3 linked regions of the Neurospora crassa OR74A genome follow. The protein of the gene in region 2 interacts with the protein of the main gene of each other region in a biochemical or structural test. Links are inferred from orthologs where the notes say so. Each region holds a gene or a part of one and is shown on either strand. Other genes may lie near its edges. The genes, in order: NCU08297, vel and NCU06593.

Region 1 (5,996 bases), on a different chromosome or scaffold from region 2:
GGTAGCCGTCTGCACGGAGAAGGAGGAAGACACATGCCGGGTGCAATTCAGCTTCCATCTCAATGACTGACGCTATTCGTTTACCTTCCAGACTTCGCGCCTTCCTTACGATCCCGAATTTTTTTACCTTTTTCATCAACCGTTCACTTCTCGACTCGACCGAAACATCACCATCACGGTACCTTCTGCTATAATGGGTAAGCGCTTGCTTTCTGTCCTCTACTTAACCTGCCCATTCGACCAAGCCGCAGGAAGCATCGCCGGATCACCGACCTCCTCGTACCTTACTCTACGGTCCAAGGGCTCAACAAAACCCGACTCAACGCCGCCCTTCGCCGACTTTTCATCTCCCTTCCCCCCACCAACATCACAGCTCGTTCTTCTGATACGATCATCACATTCGTTGTCCGCTTGCCATCTACCGTTTCTTGGGAACCGTCTTTTTTTTGGAAGAGAACCATCTTACCACCCAAATACTTTGTTCAAACGACTCCGCTGCAATGCATTTCGCTACCATGATGCACAATGCCACCCGGGGCCGCGCCAAAAGTGTTCAGTTTGAGAAGAGCTTCGCCAGTCTCGCTGAAACCATCGATGGAAGCGCCTCGCGGGATGGTCCCGTGTCCCCCGTTTCCGTCTCCGGAACACGGACCAGCAGTTTGCCCCTTGGGGAGAACAACGAGATGATCAAGAAGGCTCTACGCCGATACAAGAGCTTGCTGGAAATCGAGGACCCGGCCCCGACGTTGCCAATGACCCAACAATTCTCATACGACGAGCTATATCCCAAGGCTACGGATCCGACTGTGTCCCAGGAGCCATTACCGAAGCGGCCTTTATCCTCTAGTAGTTGAGAGCTCCGCGCACTTGACTGGACATACATTACATACTTTTGGGCACAAGATGATGGATATCATGCTAACGTTGGCTCTATGACAGCTTCGAACGGTATTCCCACCTCTCCTCCTGTTAGGGCGGCTCCCGTACCTCAGTCATCGACTTCCCAGCCATTGCCATCTCAGACGAAACAACATCAAGATGCTTCTGGTTCTGACACCGTGGCCGCAGCTCTCCCTTCTACCTTGAGCGACAACCGAAACATTGTCCGAAGGAAGCTGACGGGATACGTTGGTTTCGCCAACCTTCCCAACCAATGGCACCGCAAGAGCGTCCGCAAGGGCTTCAACTTCAATGTCATGGTTGTTGGTATGTGACGCTTTCTGTGTCCATTGAAGGAGATTTACTAATTCTAGACATGCAGGTGAATCGGGACTCGGAAAGTCGACCCTCGTTAACACTCTCTTTAACACTTCGCTTTACCCTCCCAAGGAGCGCAAGGGACCTAGCCTCGACATTGTTCCCAAGACTGTCACCATTCAGTCTATCAGCGCCGATATTGAAGAGGCTGGTGTTCGCCTCCGTTTGACCGTCGTTGACACTCCTGGCTTCGGCGACTTTGTCAACAACGACGAGTCTTGGCGTCCTATTGTGGACAACATCGAACAGCGCTTCGATGCTTACTTGGATGCCGAAAACAAGGTGAACCGCATGAACATTGTGGACAACAGGATCCATGCCTGTGTGTTCTTCATCCAGCCCACCGGTCACTCGCTCAAGCCTCTTGATATCGAGGTCATGAAGCGTCTCCACACCAAGGTCAACTTGATTCCCGTCATCGCCAAGTCGGATACTCTCACCGATGACGAGATTGCTGCTTTCAAGGCTAGAGTATGTCTTCGGGCCCTACTGGTTCTGCGATCAATACTAACAGTTTATCATAGATTCTTGCGGATATCAAGTACCACAAGGTGCAAATCTTTGAGGGCCCTCGCTACGAACTCGACGATGAGGAGACCATCGCGGAGAACAACGAGATCATGTCCAAGGTCCCCTTCGCTGTTGTCGGTGCGACCAACGAGATCACAAACGCCGATGGCCGTAAGGTTCGCGGTCGCCGTTACCCTTGGGGTGTGATCGAGGTGGACAATGAGGAGCATTGCGACTTTGTGAAGCTCCGCCAGATGCTCATCCGTACTCACATGGAGGAGCTCAAGGAGCACACCAACAACGTCCTTTACGAGAACTACCGCACGGACAAGTTGATCGCTATGGGCGTCTCTCAAGATCCAAGCGTCTTCAAGGAGGTGAACCCAGCCGTCAAGCAGGAGGAAGAGCGCGCCCTCCACGAACAGAAGCTTGCGAAGATGGAAGCCGAAATGAAGATGGTCTTCCAGCAAAAGGTTGCTGAAAAGGAATCCAAGCTGAAGCAGAGCGAAGAGGAGCTGTATGCTCGTCATAGGGAGATGAAGGAGCAGCTGGAGCGCCAACGACTGGAGCTCGAGGAGAAGAAGTCCCGAATCGAAAGTGGGCGGCCAATTGAGAAGGAGCCGACAAAGAGGAAGGGATTTTCTCTCCGATAATTTTGCGGCAACAACTTCACCCGCCTCTCACGACTGTTGTACTGTCATGTTATCCCGCATACACCTCGGCCTGCCGCTTCATTCCTTCATTCTCTGTTTTCCATTTGTTCATCTTCTAATCATAACCTCCTAATCCTGCGGGAGGATCCCCTCGCAAGCCAACAGTCTCTTTGCAGATCCCTTCATAACCGGATGGGTTTCTGTTAGAAATTTGTTGGCTGCCGTAAACGGTCAAATTTCCAAAAGCCGGTGTGTTCCGTCGTTGGGACGGGGTGCGGTCCGGTCGACTTTGTTCTTGAAAAGCTAATGCAGATGTAATTGGGCCGGAGGAGCTTTTTCGAGAATCTCTTACTTCACAATGGCAGCATGGTTCCAACAGATATATCCTCTTATCTGCTTTAGGGAGTTGAGTTCCGAAAATATGAGGGAGAAGAAAGAGAGATAATTCGTTGGCTGTTCCCCATCAGATGTTTGCGGCGCAGCAGCAATCAGGCCCTCAACTCCCTTTCGCGGCTCTGCTTGCCCTTGTCTTCTTGACCGACTGTCGGCAACATCATGTTTCCGGCTGCCACCATGACTGACAAGTCGGTTAGGATGCTGTGGCTGGCGGGAGCGAGGAGCAATTCACAACCGAGAAGCTCATAGAGGGATCAGAAGGAGTCGGGTTTGAATTGTGCTCGCGACGTTGCACCATATGCAAGTTGCAAAGGGGGCGTAAGGGAACAGGCGGGAAATCTCACTTGGACGAAAAGCAACGAACGACCAGATATCCCAACAACACATGTATTTTATTAACTGCTTTCATCGGCGATCAGATGTTTTTATTTCACGGGGAATTCTTGTAGGAGGTTTTTCTTTTCACGGTTTACGGTCGGTCATACCCAACCCAACATTTCCGGCCGATTCTCTCAACTGGTGCTTCGCTCTCCAGCCACGGAGGGTTCTTGCTTACCACATAAAACATACACACACTCAACGTACACTTAGCCTCTCCTAGATAGTTATTTCTTAGCCTTTTTCTCTCTCGCGCTCTCAAGGCGAATTTTGCCGTCTTCCTCAGTGATAAGTGTTTACCTTTGCACTGCTCCTCTCGATCGACAATGCTATGATTGGCAATTTTACTATATAAGCACTGAGCTTTCAGAGAGGAGACCGTAGGTGTCTCGGTGGTTCTCATCTGTCTCATGACTTTCTTACGCAAAGAAGAAGGAAATTTGTCTATGCCCCTCTTTATATCCATTTAGTTAATAGTGGTAATGATACATGTAGCGTACATCGATGCCGAAGGGGGCGAACTGAATGAGTCTGCAACAGATTGTTCGGGTATTGAGGAACGAACAAACTGTTACGCGCAATGTGCCCAAAATACGTATGAAGTCAACTCATCTCATGCATGATCCATCCCCGTCTCCTTTTTCTCCGGGAATCGCGAGATTTGCCGCCCACTTCGCAGCTTTCTCATCGAGACCGAACCCGATTTCCAACGCATGGTCCAACTGAAGCCGCAGCAGGTGCAGAGTATCACATCATCCGAGGTTGCCTTGAAGATGCAACAAGCACAATAGAGCGTACCCGCGACATGCAAAAAACTGGGTGCGCGCGACTCTAATCGTCCATTGGCGAATTCTACCGCTCTGAGACGGCAGAGAGTGACTGCCGTTCCTCCCTCCATCTCCCCTTTTCATTCCCTCGCTCCTAACTAGACCTCCTTTAACCTCTCCGTAAGTACCAGTTGAACGCGAGTTGGTTGATAGTGGGGGAGAAAGGCGACGGTACTTCGGACTCGCCCGGGCGCGCCACGGGGTGGCGGAGGTAGACGGCCGCGCAGATGTTCTGGTTGACCTCAAGGTAGCGGGGGATGAACGCGAAAGCGGACATGTAGTTGCGCGGCCTCCAGGGGGTCATGTACGGCTTGCTCGGGTCGATCTCGTTGTCCTCGTGCTCGTCGTTGTACTCGATCACCTTCTTGAGCACCTGGCGCGACTGCTTGTCAAGCTTCTTGCTCAGCTCCTTGGCCGCCTCCTCCTGCTGAATGGCCTTGGAAGGGGAGACCGCAAGGCGCTCGAGAAGCATCGTCAGGTCGTCCACCACGTTACCGGTTGGCGAAACGGACCCGTCGCGCCGCTGCGCTTGCTTGATGGCGGCCTTGATGTCGCGCTTCAAAGCGCGCAATGCTTGCTTGCGCGTCGCGGAGAGCTGGTGAGACGGCGAGTCGGCGATGTGCTTGGCGTACTGCAGCAGACGTTGGAGCTGCAGGAGTTCGTACTTGCGGTTCCAGGCCTCGTCGAACTTGGAGGTGTCGACTTGCTTCTCCTTCTTGCCGGACTTGGAGGCTGCTTCTTGTGCCTCTCCTTCCTCGGCCTCCTCGGCCTCCGCATCCTTCTCTTCGGCGGCTTCCTGTGCTTCCTCCGCAAGCTCCTTCTTGGCGGCCTTCATAGCCGCGGCGAGGAGCTTCTTGTCCTTGGGCGCACCGGTCGCATAGAGGACGCGCTCGACGTCGACTTGGAAGAGATCGCCAGGGTTCAGGAGGTAACCGGGGTGTTTCATCTGCAAAAGGATCGGGTAATGTTAGCGCCGAAACAAGCAGCTTTGGCATGGGTGCACTGTATTGTGGGATTCGGTATTGGAACGTTGTGATGGTGTACATGCCTTCTTGCCGTTGACGGTGACGGCACCGTGCACAACCATCTGGCGGGCCTGTCTCGCACTGCTGGCAAAGAGGGCTCTGAATATGGCGATATCGAGGCGTCTCTCGAGAGGCGCAAAGGTCATTTGCTCGTACGGCGTGGGAACCTTCCTGCCCGGGTTGGCGATGACTTGCTTGGCAGGTTTCTCGTCGGCGGTCTTCTCGTAGGCTGGGGGCTCTGAGAGGCCGGAACCGCGGCCGGCGGCTTGTTCGCTGCCGTTATATTTGGCCATGTATGCCGGGTCCATGTTGACGACGGCCGGTAGGCGACGGCTAAACATGCGCGCCCATTTGCGTTCCTTGATGTGCTCGCCGTGGTATGCTCGTGTCAAGGACTTGGCGAGCCATTTCTGCTGGAAGAATGTCTTGCCGCTGATTCTGGGTTCTCTCCCGGCCGTAGCCAGGTTGTACAGGTTATATTTGTTCCATGTCGGCCTGATGGGCTATTCGGAAGAAGAAGAAGCGCACACAAAATACGTCAGCATGATCGCGTGTGGTGGGTGTTGAGTGTCGTGGCAATGGGACTGGCAGGTAGTAGGTAATGGGGCGAATGGGGTGATGATGCGGCGGCGGCGACGATGACCAACGGCAAACCCGGCGACGGCGGCATAAAACACCGAATAGCACATACCTTTTTCTTCAAACTGTGGTACTTGAACAACCTCCGGATCTTCATGTTGGGTGTGGTGTGTTTGGAGGAGCTTCGGGGGATCGGATCGGACTGTAGGCCCCGTGCTTTTGGCGAAGTGGACGGACCGGTTCGGCGCAGGTTGTTTGGAGATTGTCGAGTCCGGAGCGGTCCGGGGCACCTAGCAGCACTGCCAACGAGGGGAGCTTCCCGGGGCCCTTCCACCTCTTATCGGGCGCCGTCCTCCGAAAATTATTTCAGA
Region 2 (4,174 bases):
CGGAACACTAGGTCCCTCAAGAATGCCCGTATCCGCATTCCGCAGCGGGAAAACAAGACCAGAAACCCTTGAATTCTTCAAAGTTGTCTTGGTCGAACCGTTCGTATCATCTCCGTTGCTTTTGCTGCTGAACGTGATCCATGTGTTAATTGACGACGTACGATGACCCTCGTCTAAAAGCTGAGACTTATCTGTCGGTTGATCGTAGCGGCATAACACGGTCGGACTAGTGGCAGAGATTCTCCAGGGTGTTTAAGATTGGTGTCTTGTACCGTCGAGATCTGTCCACATCGGACCCGAACACCTCAGCGGGACCGGACGAGAGGTTGGTGGTGAATGAAGCGTTTAAAGTAATGACGGCTTTACCTCTCTGACAAAGAAGGTAGCACCCAATATCTTTGAGACCACACAAAGGTCAGGGTGTTCAGAACGAGTTTATGGGTATCTGTACGCCTGTGCTGCGAGAGCCTTACGACGGCGGACAGCATATAGGACCGGGAAGGGAATAACTGCAGAGATATTTGGGATGGACTCCCCAATCGTTATTTACAACTTCATAGGTCCCAGACTGGCGCAGAGCATATCAATTTCCATTGCAATGAACTCCAGGCTTCCCCGGTGGCCGGACGTTTCTTTCTTCTTTTACCATGCCGCTGGTGCGTAAAGTCGATATAAAAAATAAGAAAAAAACGGAAAAGCCAATAAGCCGCGTTAAGACGGTACCTGCGCGCTAGGCACAAAATGTGTTGCATAAGCAAGTATCTCGGCATCCATCCGAGCCAAGGCAGTAAGATGAAGACGTACCCGTTCTCAAGTCTGCAATGGATCTGACTGGTCGCGGCGCTGTCCCCCCCCCCTTTCCCGCCGCAGTCTTGGTTACTCTGCCACTTCCACACGTTGGCGCACTGCATCTGCCCCGTTCCCCACTATTCTCACGCTAACCGTCCAAGGCTTCAACGTTCAATGGTCGCTCGAACGGGTGCCGCAGCTGTAACTGACGGTTTGATGGACCCTTACAATGCCCCTGCTCCCACTCTTGGATCCGACCGGGCATTCAACTTGCTGTGGTGAGAGATGTTCAGCGCAAAGAGGAGACAGTAGGGCATCTGGACGGCATCTCACCCGTATCGCTAACTGTTGTTGTTCCTGGGTTGAGCGTCTGGACCATAGGTCGTAGGTAGGTAAGGTAGTTAGGTATGGATGGTATATGTGAGGTGGGTAGGTACCTACTGCGTAGAGGTAGTGTACTGTCCCCTCGTTGGTTGTTGTAGAAGATGGGATCACCCAAGTACCAGAAGAAAGACACCACAACCTGGATGCACCAAAACCTCGACCGGGATCCCAGGACCCTTACACGTTTTTGCCCCATACAGGCAATAATACCAGTAGTGTACCCCTTACTACTGCAACCTCACACAGCGCCGGCCTGGAGTCCTTGCCAACCCCTTTCGACTCTGCTCATCTTTCTTTCAACTCCGAGCGTGGTCTCTCATCTTGCCCTTTGACACCCGCCAGCCTGTCTCCGTTGATCACCGGCGTCAAGGATAACGCAGATTCGCGAACCAGACAGGCAATCGTCTGGCCTGACCGCCATCGCATCGTTCGGCTTTCTGTCTTCCATTCACTACAGCAGCCAGCACCAGCACCAGCAATACACAGCATTGCGACGAGGCGTGCTTTGAACCTTCCGTGGCATCCAACTAAAGAAACAAAAAGTAATCGAGCCAGGACCGCAAATACATGTCGCCCTGGTCGCCTGTTGGTCTTGCTCGAACGCGCCTGAACCGACCCTCTCCTTGGTCGCTGCTTCTCCCCTGTCGCAATCGACTCGCTTAGTCCTTTTCTAACTCAAACCCACCTGTGCCAACTGACCACCTATACCATCACCGTTTGATACTGGTCCATTCTTTTAGTACACATTGCGCCTTGTCTTTCGGACGGAGCCGGCTTCATCTTTGGGCCTCCTGGTGCGTTGGCGACCCTGCCACCATATGCGCAACCCCGCCTTTCGAACCGTCTATTGACCCGGCGACAATAGGAAGCACACCCGTCACACTCCAGGTCCCGCAACTCAGGGGATCGTCGCGACTACGCGCAGTCTATTTCTGGCTCCAGAACAACCAGACCTATCTCTAGTCAAGGAGTAACTGGAATCCGGCACAATGGCGCAAAATGGGTATGCCCGCCCTCTGCTATGCTTCTCCCACTTCGCCCCAACCACGCAAATCTCTCCTCTCCCACATGACATCTCGCTCCCGCTACTTGGTCAATTTCCCTAGTGGAGCTTCGCTTCATTACCTTGGCCCATCTTCATTCCTTCCCCTGTTGGAAATCTAGCAGGGTCCGTGGACATTATGCTAACCTCGACCTGAACCACAGCAACATATACTCGAGGGAGCCGTTCATGAACCCAGGCCCAGCGCCGCGACCTCCCACGGACAAGCCCCGCCTCGGCCTCACCCCCAACACCAATTCACCCGGGAACATCTCCAACCTTCCTGGGAACATGTCCAACCTGAGCCTCCGGTCGCCTGCCCCAGGGGTAACTAGTACATACAGCGGCTCGACCATCGCCCTCCCCATCCAAAGACAAATGTCAAACAACGACGGCACCGGCGGCCTTGCCGTCATCAAGCAAGGTTGGGCCAGTGTCAAGGAGAGCAAGAACTTCATCAACCCTTGGAAGAACAAGTACCTGATCCTACGAAAGGAGTCACTGGATTTCCACAAGGCCGAGAGCAGTAAAGTTGCCTATACCCTCTACCTCAAGGACGTTATCAATGTCGGCCGTGTGGAGGCCGCAGGAACCATTTTCGAGATCAAGAGGCAGTCTAGCGGTGCCTCCACGAGTCCCGGAGAGGAGGAAAATGGCATCAGGACCCTTCAGATCCGCGTGAAGGCCGACGACGACCTTTATGAATGGATTGACTTTATTTACGCGCGTTGCCCAGGCATGGGCGGTGTCAGTAATCCTACCAACTTTTCGCATGCCGTTCACGTCGGATTCGATCCCCAGACCGGCGAGTTCGTCGGCCTGCCTCCTGAGTGGTCGAAGCTGCTCAACTCTTCAGCCATTACCCAAGAAGACTACGAAAGGAACCCTCAAGCCGTCTTTGAAGTCCTCGATTTCTATTCCGATTTCAACAAGAATGGCGGCCAAGCGCCCACACCCAACTTTCCCACTCCCCCATCGAACAGCGCACAGAGCAAGCAGCTCGGATACCCGAGCGGTGGAAACTCCGTCGCGCCGCCGCGCCCTACGCAGCCGTTGCAACAACGCAACCCAAGCTCCAACTACCCATCCTCGCCGCAGCAGCAAGGTGGCACCAGTTCTCGCTCATCACCCCCCGAGCAGCGCCAGCAGGCGTCGCCGAGCTACAACTCTGAGCGCGCGAGAGAGGAGCAAAGGCGCGAACTGGAGCGCCAGCAGAGAGAGATGGAGGAGCGGGATCGCCGGGATCAGGAAGCTTATAATGCGTCCCTTCCCAAGACGAAGACTCCTATGGCTCAGCAGGAGATTGGAGGTGGTGGTTATGGTGGTGCCGATCGCTTCAACCCAACACGCGCCGCTCCACCAGCACCCAAGGGCTTGCAGCAAGCACCGAGTCTCAAAGCTCAGAGACCTGCGCCTCCCCCACCAAGTTCCAGTTCGAGCCGCCCGCCCGTCGCACAGCAGTCCAGTTCCAGCTCACAGCGTGATCTTGCCCAGGCGCAGGCGCAGAGACGGGCCGAACAGCAGGCTCAGGCGCAACGGAGCCAGAACGGCCAGGCCCCGCCACGACCACCTCACCCATCGGCCAACCAGCCATCCAAGATTCCTACGACCGTGAAGCCGCTTAACGTGGGTCCCAAGCAGCCTCAAGATGGCGTCAAGGCCGCTGAAGCAGCCCTTACGTCCAAGCCCGCTGCTTCTGAGCGTTCCAAGGATGTTCGCATGTCGACCATGTCGGAGAAGGAGGTTATGCAGAAGCTAAGGGAAGTTGTGTCTCACGAAGACCCCGAAGCCAAGTACTCCAAGCAGAAGAAGATCGGACAGGGTGCCTCTGGCTCCGTGTACGTCGCCAAGATCAGGGAGAGACCGGGCCAGGATCCCAACGTTTCCAGAAGACGCGGCCAGGTTGCAATCAAGCAGATGGATCTCGCGCACCAGCCGCGCAAGGAGTTGATCGTGAAC
Region 3 (7,777 bases), on a different chromosome or scaffold from region 2:
TGTCCTACCCCACGACATTTGCGACCTGGGCTTCTATCGCCAACACCTCATGGGGGATTTCGGCGATAGAGAATACCGACGGGTTTTCTATCTCCGTTTCTTCGTTGTCAATTCCGATGTTACTCCCTGAATAGTAACGTGGAATGCGTTAGAGGAAGCCCACGTCATGCCTTGTGGAGCTCTTACACTGACGAAAACCACTTCTTCCCCCGAGTCGTCTCACGACCTCACGATCCGCCAGGTTGCCACTTGCAACGCAGTCCGACTTACCTTTTCAGCTAGTTCCTTCAGGACAGGCGCAGATCCTGTTCTTCAATGTCATTTGCCAGCATCAGGTCAACCTAATTGACCTCAAACGTGGTTGAGGCGTGCAGTATTCGAATCTGCCTACTCTACTCAAAAATGGAGACGTAATATCCACCGTTTTCGGAACCCATTCTCGGTGGACAGGATGATAGATGGCGTCTTCGCACATCGACCCCCTTCTTTCCCGATCAATGTGTCTTGCCGGAGGATCTCGACGTGTCGGCTCACGGGGTCTCTTGTTTTAGCAAGCATTAGGGTCATGCGGAGGTGACCTTTGGCGACGTGGAAGCAGCAGCATTAGTTGCTATGGTGCTGTAGTGGCACCCTGCTCTCCTTCTATGCGTCCTTACAGGCACCGCTCTCTTATTCAACAATTTTTCAGTATCCCTTGCGTTCCGGTGTCGGCATCTTTGGGTGGTGGTTTGGGTCAGCGAGCATAGGGTTTTGGCGTCTCGGGGTGTCAAAACTGCTTGCATTTGTCCCTTGTCTTTTTTTCTTTGTTCCTTCTTCATGCTAGTACAGGTAACTCAGGTGTTTGGCGTTAAGGGAACAATGCTAAGAGCAGGGAGGTTGAGTGGGCATGTCTTACAGTTAGCAAAATAAGAACGTACTTAGTGAGCTCCAGCACACAACACAGTCATATTGTGCGCCGTCGATATCGATGCCATCCTTGTTGTCTTTTGAGTCAGAGTACGGGGAGCCGGAGGCCAACACAATCGGCCGCGCATCATAATCAATGGTGGAAAAGGGTCGGGTCCTTCGACTTCTGCCCGCATTGCAAGCAGATGTGACGAACCTCCATGCTACGCGTTTGCTTCTTGATGCAGTTGCTAACTTAACCTTGGGTCGAATTGAAGCGGTGGCTGGTGAGGCGAAAGATAGACACCATACCATGTGGAAAAAGGAAAAATACCACGCTGCCTCATTGCTTACAGGTGCGCCAGCGGGCATCCCGGCCCGTCGTGTGCTCCTCGCGTCACATCCCGATTGGTCAAACCTCGTGCATGTACGTAGAAGTCGTGCATCGATAAATGGAAAGAGGGTTGAAACCATTGCCATGGAAAACATGGCAATTGGCGGCTTTTCTTGGGCGTTGTTCATGTCCAATAGAGAGGGTGAAGATGTTGAGTATTCGAAGGACGTCCGTCCACTTGCACTATTCTCGTGTTTATGATTCCCTCTAGGAGCTCGCATATTATTGTTGTGGCCAGAATGAGATGAACATGATACAAAGGCCGAACAGAAACCCCGAAATGACAAAAAGTGAGATTTGTTAAGCAAAAGAATAAGAAAAGAAAGAAAAAACTGGATCGGTTAATGCCCAGATTCCAAAATCGGGAGCTTTGCGGCAGAGCCCTACCAGGCCGTTACAGTGCTGTCTCTATCGAGTCTAGACGCCAATGCTCCTTGTTCGCTGTTGGGTTGGGTTGTTCTGATTAGTCAGGCACAGGCCGCGGAGCTTCATCCGAAATACCCCGAGACCGAGAACCGATATCTACCTAAAATTTGATCGCGATGCTTTTTGCTGCACCAATGAAGGAGATTCGGACTGTGTAGAATGAATCTGCCAAACATAGGTAGATCTGAAAATCCCGAGCTAAGTCGCCATCAGAAGGACATATGTCAGCGTCAATCCAGTGATGCTAGTACTAGGCTTTTTCCTACTAGGGGTTGCTTGTGAACCGTCTTGGAGGCCTTGCATTCTATCGAGTCCCCTTCGGCTTTCAAGTCCACCGACGTTATGATGGAGCCCGATGTCAATGCATTGACAAGGTGTGGGCTTTGAACATCTCATGACGCATCGTATGAGTTGATGCACTAACAGCAGGCATATTCCTGCCTCACAGCATCGACTTGTTGTCGACGACGACGCCTTTCAAGTCACTTGGATGGGTAGTGACGGAACAGACTCGAGAATGAAGCAATCAATCCTTCAGTTGAGGTTGGAGAAGTGAGAAAAAATCCTCAGGTACCGTGTCCATAACACCCTGGTTGTCGACTCGACTCAGCAAACCAACCACAGTTTCCGCTATGACAAGCGCGATCACGATGCATATGCAGTGGCTTCAAAGATATGTACAATATCATGCACACTAGCACGCACACATATCTTAGGCCAGGCAATGACAGCGACAAAGATACCAACGGAGAATACCTGAGGGAGCAGCAATCTTAGCTTTTCAATGGCCTCATTGCGCGCGGCTCATCTTTGATCAGATCGTGTAAGACTAGCAAGCTGGTTGGTTTCAGTTGAGATTTGACGTTGGCCGACTTCTTTCATTCGTTTGTCGCAAAGTTCCTGGTCGTATCGCGGTGGGCACGTCCGGAATCCCAAAGATCGAGAGCGGCCAAGAAACAGTGGAGGTACCTAAGAACGAAAGCCAATTCGAATCCACCACAGCCAGGTCCAGGGAGGGTGGGTCCCTCTGGACGTGAGAACCCTGGCGGCGCTCTCCAATTGCACCAACATGCAGGGCAGCAACTGCGCCAATCAACCAGGCCGGGGTGCCTTCAGGTACCTGCCCGCGCGGCCTCTGCGCTGCTGCAACGCTACAATTCCCCTCTTAAGTCGAGGTCCTTGGCCGTCCATTGTCATGCCGATTGTCATGCGGATGCTAACGGCTAGATAGAGGCAGCCACCCTTTCACGGTCAGGACACGGACATAAACTAGCAGACACTAACAGACACTAGGCGAATAAGCAAGCCTGAGTGGCTGTTTTTCCAACATGTTCCATGCCGTCCGTCTCGGCTAGGCTGGTGACTTGCTTGTGACCTTCATCACACCTACCCGCCCGTCTTCGAGCCATCTCCGGCCACCACCTCCACACCCTGTCGGCTTCCACTCTGCGAGAACACACCTGGACCCGACCCTTGGTGATCACCCTTGCTGCTTCCGTTGCAAGCTTGGCTTTGGGCTGTTGCTATCTCCCTTTTTATTATTTTTTTAATGCTATTGCTGCCCGTCCCGAGGACTAGCACGCAAGGCACGCAGGCCATATATCCCACCTGATCCTGATCCTTCCCCGCCACCGTGCAGTTTCCAGTTTCCATTCCCACCTGCCCGTTCGCTCGCTTCGTTCACTCATCACCAGTTCCAACTCTCGACAACCAACCTTCCTACTGCGACAGTCAAGTCCATCATCGCCGACAACACTCGTCGCAACACCCAACGCAACTCCCGGCGGATTGTCCACCACTACTTAGACATTCTAGAAGCGCTCGCCGGACTGGGACTTGCGCATTGAGCATTGGGTCTAGGCAGTCGGCATTGCGGCTGAACAAAGGAACAAGAGAATTGCATCAACACCACACGCCCACACGCCAGGCGGCCCTGATCAGGCTCAGACAAAGACGGAAAGCCAAGATTGAGGCAAACTCGGCCAGACAGCGAACTTGGGGTCAGCTATCCACTTGGGGAACAGAAGTATTGGGGCGCGACCATTTTACACGAAACGGTCGCCGAAATTAGCTGGACAACCGCTGCTTTCCAAATTACGTCTCCCTTACGTTCGCACGGTCGCAAACACTAGTGCAGCAGATAACGACCCCGTCCGCGATATCCACTCCCGTCATCGCCGCGCTGCTTTCCCGGCTCCCATCCGACCGATACATACGGCACATTTGGATCGTTACACAGATTCCACCTAGCAACACCCTCCACGACACACACACACACACACCACACACACGAGCAGAACCGCCCAGGACCAACCCCAGAGGGATCCTAGGCAAGCCCTCTCGCCGTCCGTCATTTGAGTCGGCGTAACCCCAACCACGATTGCCCGCGCACGCCGACACCAGGACGCCCGCTCCAAAAGTTGTTTGCTGACGCCTCTCACCCCGTCAGCCGTTCCTGTTTCTCTCTGTGTATAGCACAATAGTTCCGGTTTTGGTTTGTGTACACATAGCTTACAAGTCGTCTGAGTATCGCTGTCGGACAAGATGAAGGTACGTCATTCCCCGCTGTTCTGTGCTCTGCCATCCCCTCTCTCTTCCCTTCCCCGTCCCTCCTCCTCTTCAGTCCGATCGTTTTTGCTCGTTCCCCAGGAAACAGCCCTCGTGATTGTATAGCAGAGGCTTCACTGCTATTGGGGACATGAGAGATAGGATCGGGCTACGGCTCAGGTATTCATACACCATCACATAGGCGTTCTTGCCTTGGCCAATTCGTCACGATGCAATACAGCTTGCGTGAACCGGAAGAATCCTTTTTCTTAGTGTCTGCTCCATCTACACCCACAGCACCTCTCGAATTTTCTTGGCCTCGTCGGACTACTCATTTCAATACTGCGGTTTCGTCGTTCTGGCAACTAACAATGTCACGCGGTTTTAAGGCTCTACGAAGGTCCATCAAGGGTGGAGAGAAGGACTCCAAACCTCATATTACTATTCAACCGAAATCTGCCGTCGCCATCGTCCCTCCAAAGAAGGTATGTCTCGTAACAAGGTGTCAGCCACAAGGCGCTTAGGCTAAACTTGTTATCACAGGTTATAAAAGCTCTCTACGATTACGAAGCACAAAATGCACAGGAGCTTAGCTTTTCACGCGGCGATTTCTTCCATGTCATCGGTCGTGAAAATGACCCAGAGTGGTATGAGGCGTGCAACCCTGCGCTACCAGACGCTCGTGGTCTCGTGCCCGTCGCTTATTTCCAGGCCCTTGGACGTACGGAACGCGATAGCGGCCAGTCTCAAACCGGTTCACTGGGTTTGAAGACCGTAGATAGTGATTCTGGATACGGCGAAGGCTCGGCGGCCTCGCCTCCTGGAGCAAACGCCGCGAATCGGATGTCGAAAACGCCTGGCAAGAATGGAGCCATGGTTTATGGTGTCGTTTTGTACGATTTCCAAGCCGAACGGGCAGACGAATTGGAAGCCAAGCAGGGCGAGGCCATCATTGTCATTGCCCAGTCGAACCCCGAATGGTTCGTGGCTAAGCCCATCGGAAGACTTGGCGGCCCGGGTCTGATTCCCGTATCCTTTGTTGAGATCCGGGACATGGCGAGTAACACCCCTGTCCCGAACCCCCATGATGCCATACGAAAAGCTGGGATTCCAAAGGTCGAGGAGTGGAAGAAGATGGCTGCGGAATATAAGAACTCGAGCATAACGCTCGGCAAGTTCGATGTTGGTGGTGGCGGTGGTGGCCAACCACCACTTGACCAGGCCATGAACCGCTTAACTTTGCAAGGAAGCGCCCGGTTGAGCCAGCAGACTACTCATACCCAGGTACGTGTATTCTGTCCACTTACTTTGCGTGCGTGTTTGTACTAACAGGTCTTTGCAGCAACAGATACAGGCTCAAGGACAATCCTATTCGAGGCCAACCTCGACACTATACGCACCCATCGCAGCCAGGGTTCCGAGGTACTGCTTTGCCGAGGACAAGTACTGGTTTGTTATTGAAGCCGAACTGGAGGATGGTCGATGCTTCGAACTTTCGCGATACTACGAGGATTTCTACGACTTCCAAATCGCGCTCCTAACCGAGTTCCCTCTTGAAGCTGGAACTACAGGCGGCAAGCAGCGGACGCTACCCTACATGCCCGGTCCTGTTAATTACGTGACTGATGCGATTACGGAAGGCCGCCGCCACAACCTTGACTCTTACGTTAAAAGTCTACTGGAACAACCGCCACACATCTCCCGCTGTAACCTGGTCAAGCAGTTCTTTTCTCCTAGAGAGGGTGATTACGAAATCGACCCTAGCGTTGCTCGCGAGGAATACCGATTCTCTGGAGGCTCTGGTCCGTCCTCTGACTCACCAGCCGACGGCCTCTCACTACAGAGCACAGCCGGCAACAGATATTCTGCCGGTCTCGGTGTTCCTCAGAGGCAGCTGAGCATTGGCAACGGCCAACAGATTCCGGGACCTGGGCAGGCTTCACAGACCTCATTGTCACCTGCTATTATGCAGGGTGGTTCACAGATGAAAGTGAAACTGCACTTCAACGGCGACATCATCGCCATCCGCGTACCCACTGATATTCCATTCCAAGCTCTCCATGACAAGATTCTGGATCGTCTCAAGATTCCTCAGGGCGAGGACGTTCAGCTAAGTTACAAGGACGACGCGAGTGGCGAGAAGCCTCCTCTGATGAACGACGAAGATCTGGATATTGCACTGCAACGGAACGAAAAGCTGCTCGTTTACGTGGAATAATGGACTGACGGACTTTGAAACCCCAACCCATACACGTTTGTTGGCCATATTCCGATACACAGCGCATTCGGATACCATGGTCACATGCGCCATGTTTCACGAACATTTGATTCGAAGGCAGCAACTGGGTAAACTAAGCGCTCGGCCTTCAAAAGTCACGCCAGATGGCTACATACACAAGCAAGGCGAACAACGTGGAGGGAATTGCTCATTTGCGCACTCAGTTACATACCATCTTTTCTCGTTGACGGCTGCCAACAAACTGCTCTTTATCCAACACACAATGCGATATCTATACCCCACGCTATATACCCAAACGCATACGTAAATCATATAGGACTTCGCGGTTCAGTCGTTGTAATACATTTCGAATTGATCGGCTCGTCTCTCTCCACTCACTAAAATTTCTGGGACGCAGATGGTCATGGGGCATTTTGGATGCGGCAGGGACTTTGGGATACGGTGATATTTTTTTGGAACAGCTCAGGAGTCAGGCCAAAGGAGTCTGTGACCATGGTGAAAAAAAGGAAGGAAGTAGAGTCAGGGGAGGATCTGCGCGCTTGCTGGAAGGCTGCGGTGGGGCCAAGTTGGGAGATGGATTCTTGGTTAGGCGTGGGGGAGGGTGGAAGGATTAAATTTGATACCAAACTACGTTGCTACTCGAGGTCGAAGATGGGTGGTGGATTACCATAAGAAGAGGTGGTGGAGGTGGTAATGGTGGTGCTGAGGGTGATGACAAGGGACAAGAAGAAGAAGAAGGGGCCCTTGTGAATGGATGATGAATGAAATGAATTTACACCCACAGGCTTTTTGTGTTTCAGGATGTTGACCGAGATGGCGGGGGACACGGGGTATCGTTTCTGCAGTGTAGGTGAGATTTGAAGATATCCATGTGCAGTCAAGGTGTTTTTGGTAATAAAAAAATTGGGAGCGAAAGATGACCGGAGAAAAGAGAGTAGTGGTGGTCTACTCGCAGCCAGTAAGTAGCATAAATCTACATTTGAAGATATCGCGACTTCCGATAATTGCATGTGACATCTGCTATACAATGTCATTGGAAGTTGAATAAATGCACAATTACGGCAAATGCCAAGCCCATCGAAAACATACATCGCATTCTTGTTCTGGTAAAGGAAGCAATGGTAACAATGACACTTCCACAACAATCAGTCAAAGTTCGTTACATATTTACAAAGTTGGAAGTAACGAAGTCGATGCCGTTTCACACTACCAATGTAATGCTTGTAAGTCAACCAGCCCGAAGGCCAGATCTAGGAAATTCTTACTGAAAAGCATACAGAAATGCA

What was found.
Region 1: of the proteins of vel (region 2) and NCU08297, one has a biochemical effect on the other in vitro, tested with the Saccharomyces cerevisiae proteins (2 studies listed by BioGRID). The link is inferred for Neurospora crassa OR74A from reciprocal best matches to the Saccharomyces cerevisiae genes CLA4 and CDC3.
Region 3: the proteins of vel (region 2) and NCU06593 interact in a test that uses a peptide from one of them, tested with the Saccharomyces cerevisiae proteins (3 studies listed by BioGRID, with this or other methods). The link is inferred for Neurospora crassa OR74A from reciprocal best matches to the Saccharomyces cerevisiae genes CLA4 and BEM1.

What each region holds. Positions count from the first base shown.
Region 1 is NC_026504.1:2,498,691-2,504,686, forward strand, and holds the end of NCU08297 (cell division control protein 3), read left to right. Parts: intron 1-91; 5' UTR 92-193; coding exon 194-197; intron 198-939; coding exon 940-1,206; intron 1,207-1,261; coding exon 1,262-1,728; intron 1,729-1,781; coding exon 1,782-2,420; 3' UTR 2,421-3,612; downstream 3,613-5,996. Other genes in the region: NCU08296 (mito ribosomal protein S4), read right to left, coding at 4,131-4,967, 5,070-5,549, 5,738-5,782. UniProt on the Saccharomyces cerevisiae protein: Septins are GTPases involved in cytokinesis that assemble early in the cell cycle as a patch at the incipient bud site and form a ring approximate 15 minutes before bud emergence, which transforms into an hour-glass shaped collar of cortical filaments that spans both sides of the mother-bud neck.
Region 2 is NC_026503.1:3,746,416-3,750,589, forward strand, and holds the start of vel (protein kinase CHM1), read left to right. Parts: upstream 1-1,374; 5' UTR 1,375-1,967; intron 1,968-2,038; 5' UTR 2,039-2,162; coding exon 2,163-2,176; intron 2,177-2,379; coding exon 2,380-4,174. UniProt on the Saccharomyces cerevisiae protein: Involved in budding and cytokinesis.
Region 3 is NC_026504.1:1,740,530-1,748,306, reverse strand, and holds NCU06593 (MAP kinase activator), read left to right. Parts: upstream 1-3,016; 5' UTR 3,017-4,249; coding exon 4,250-4,255; intron 4,256-4,641; coding exon 4,642-4,737; intron 4,738-4,795; coding exon 4,796-5,536; intron 5,537-5,594; coding exon 5,595-6,470; 3' UTR 6,471-7,475; downstream 7,476-7,777.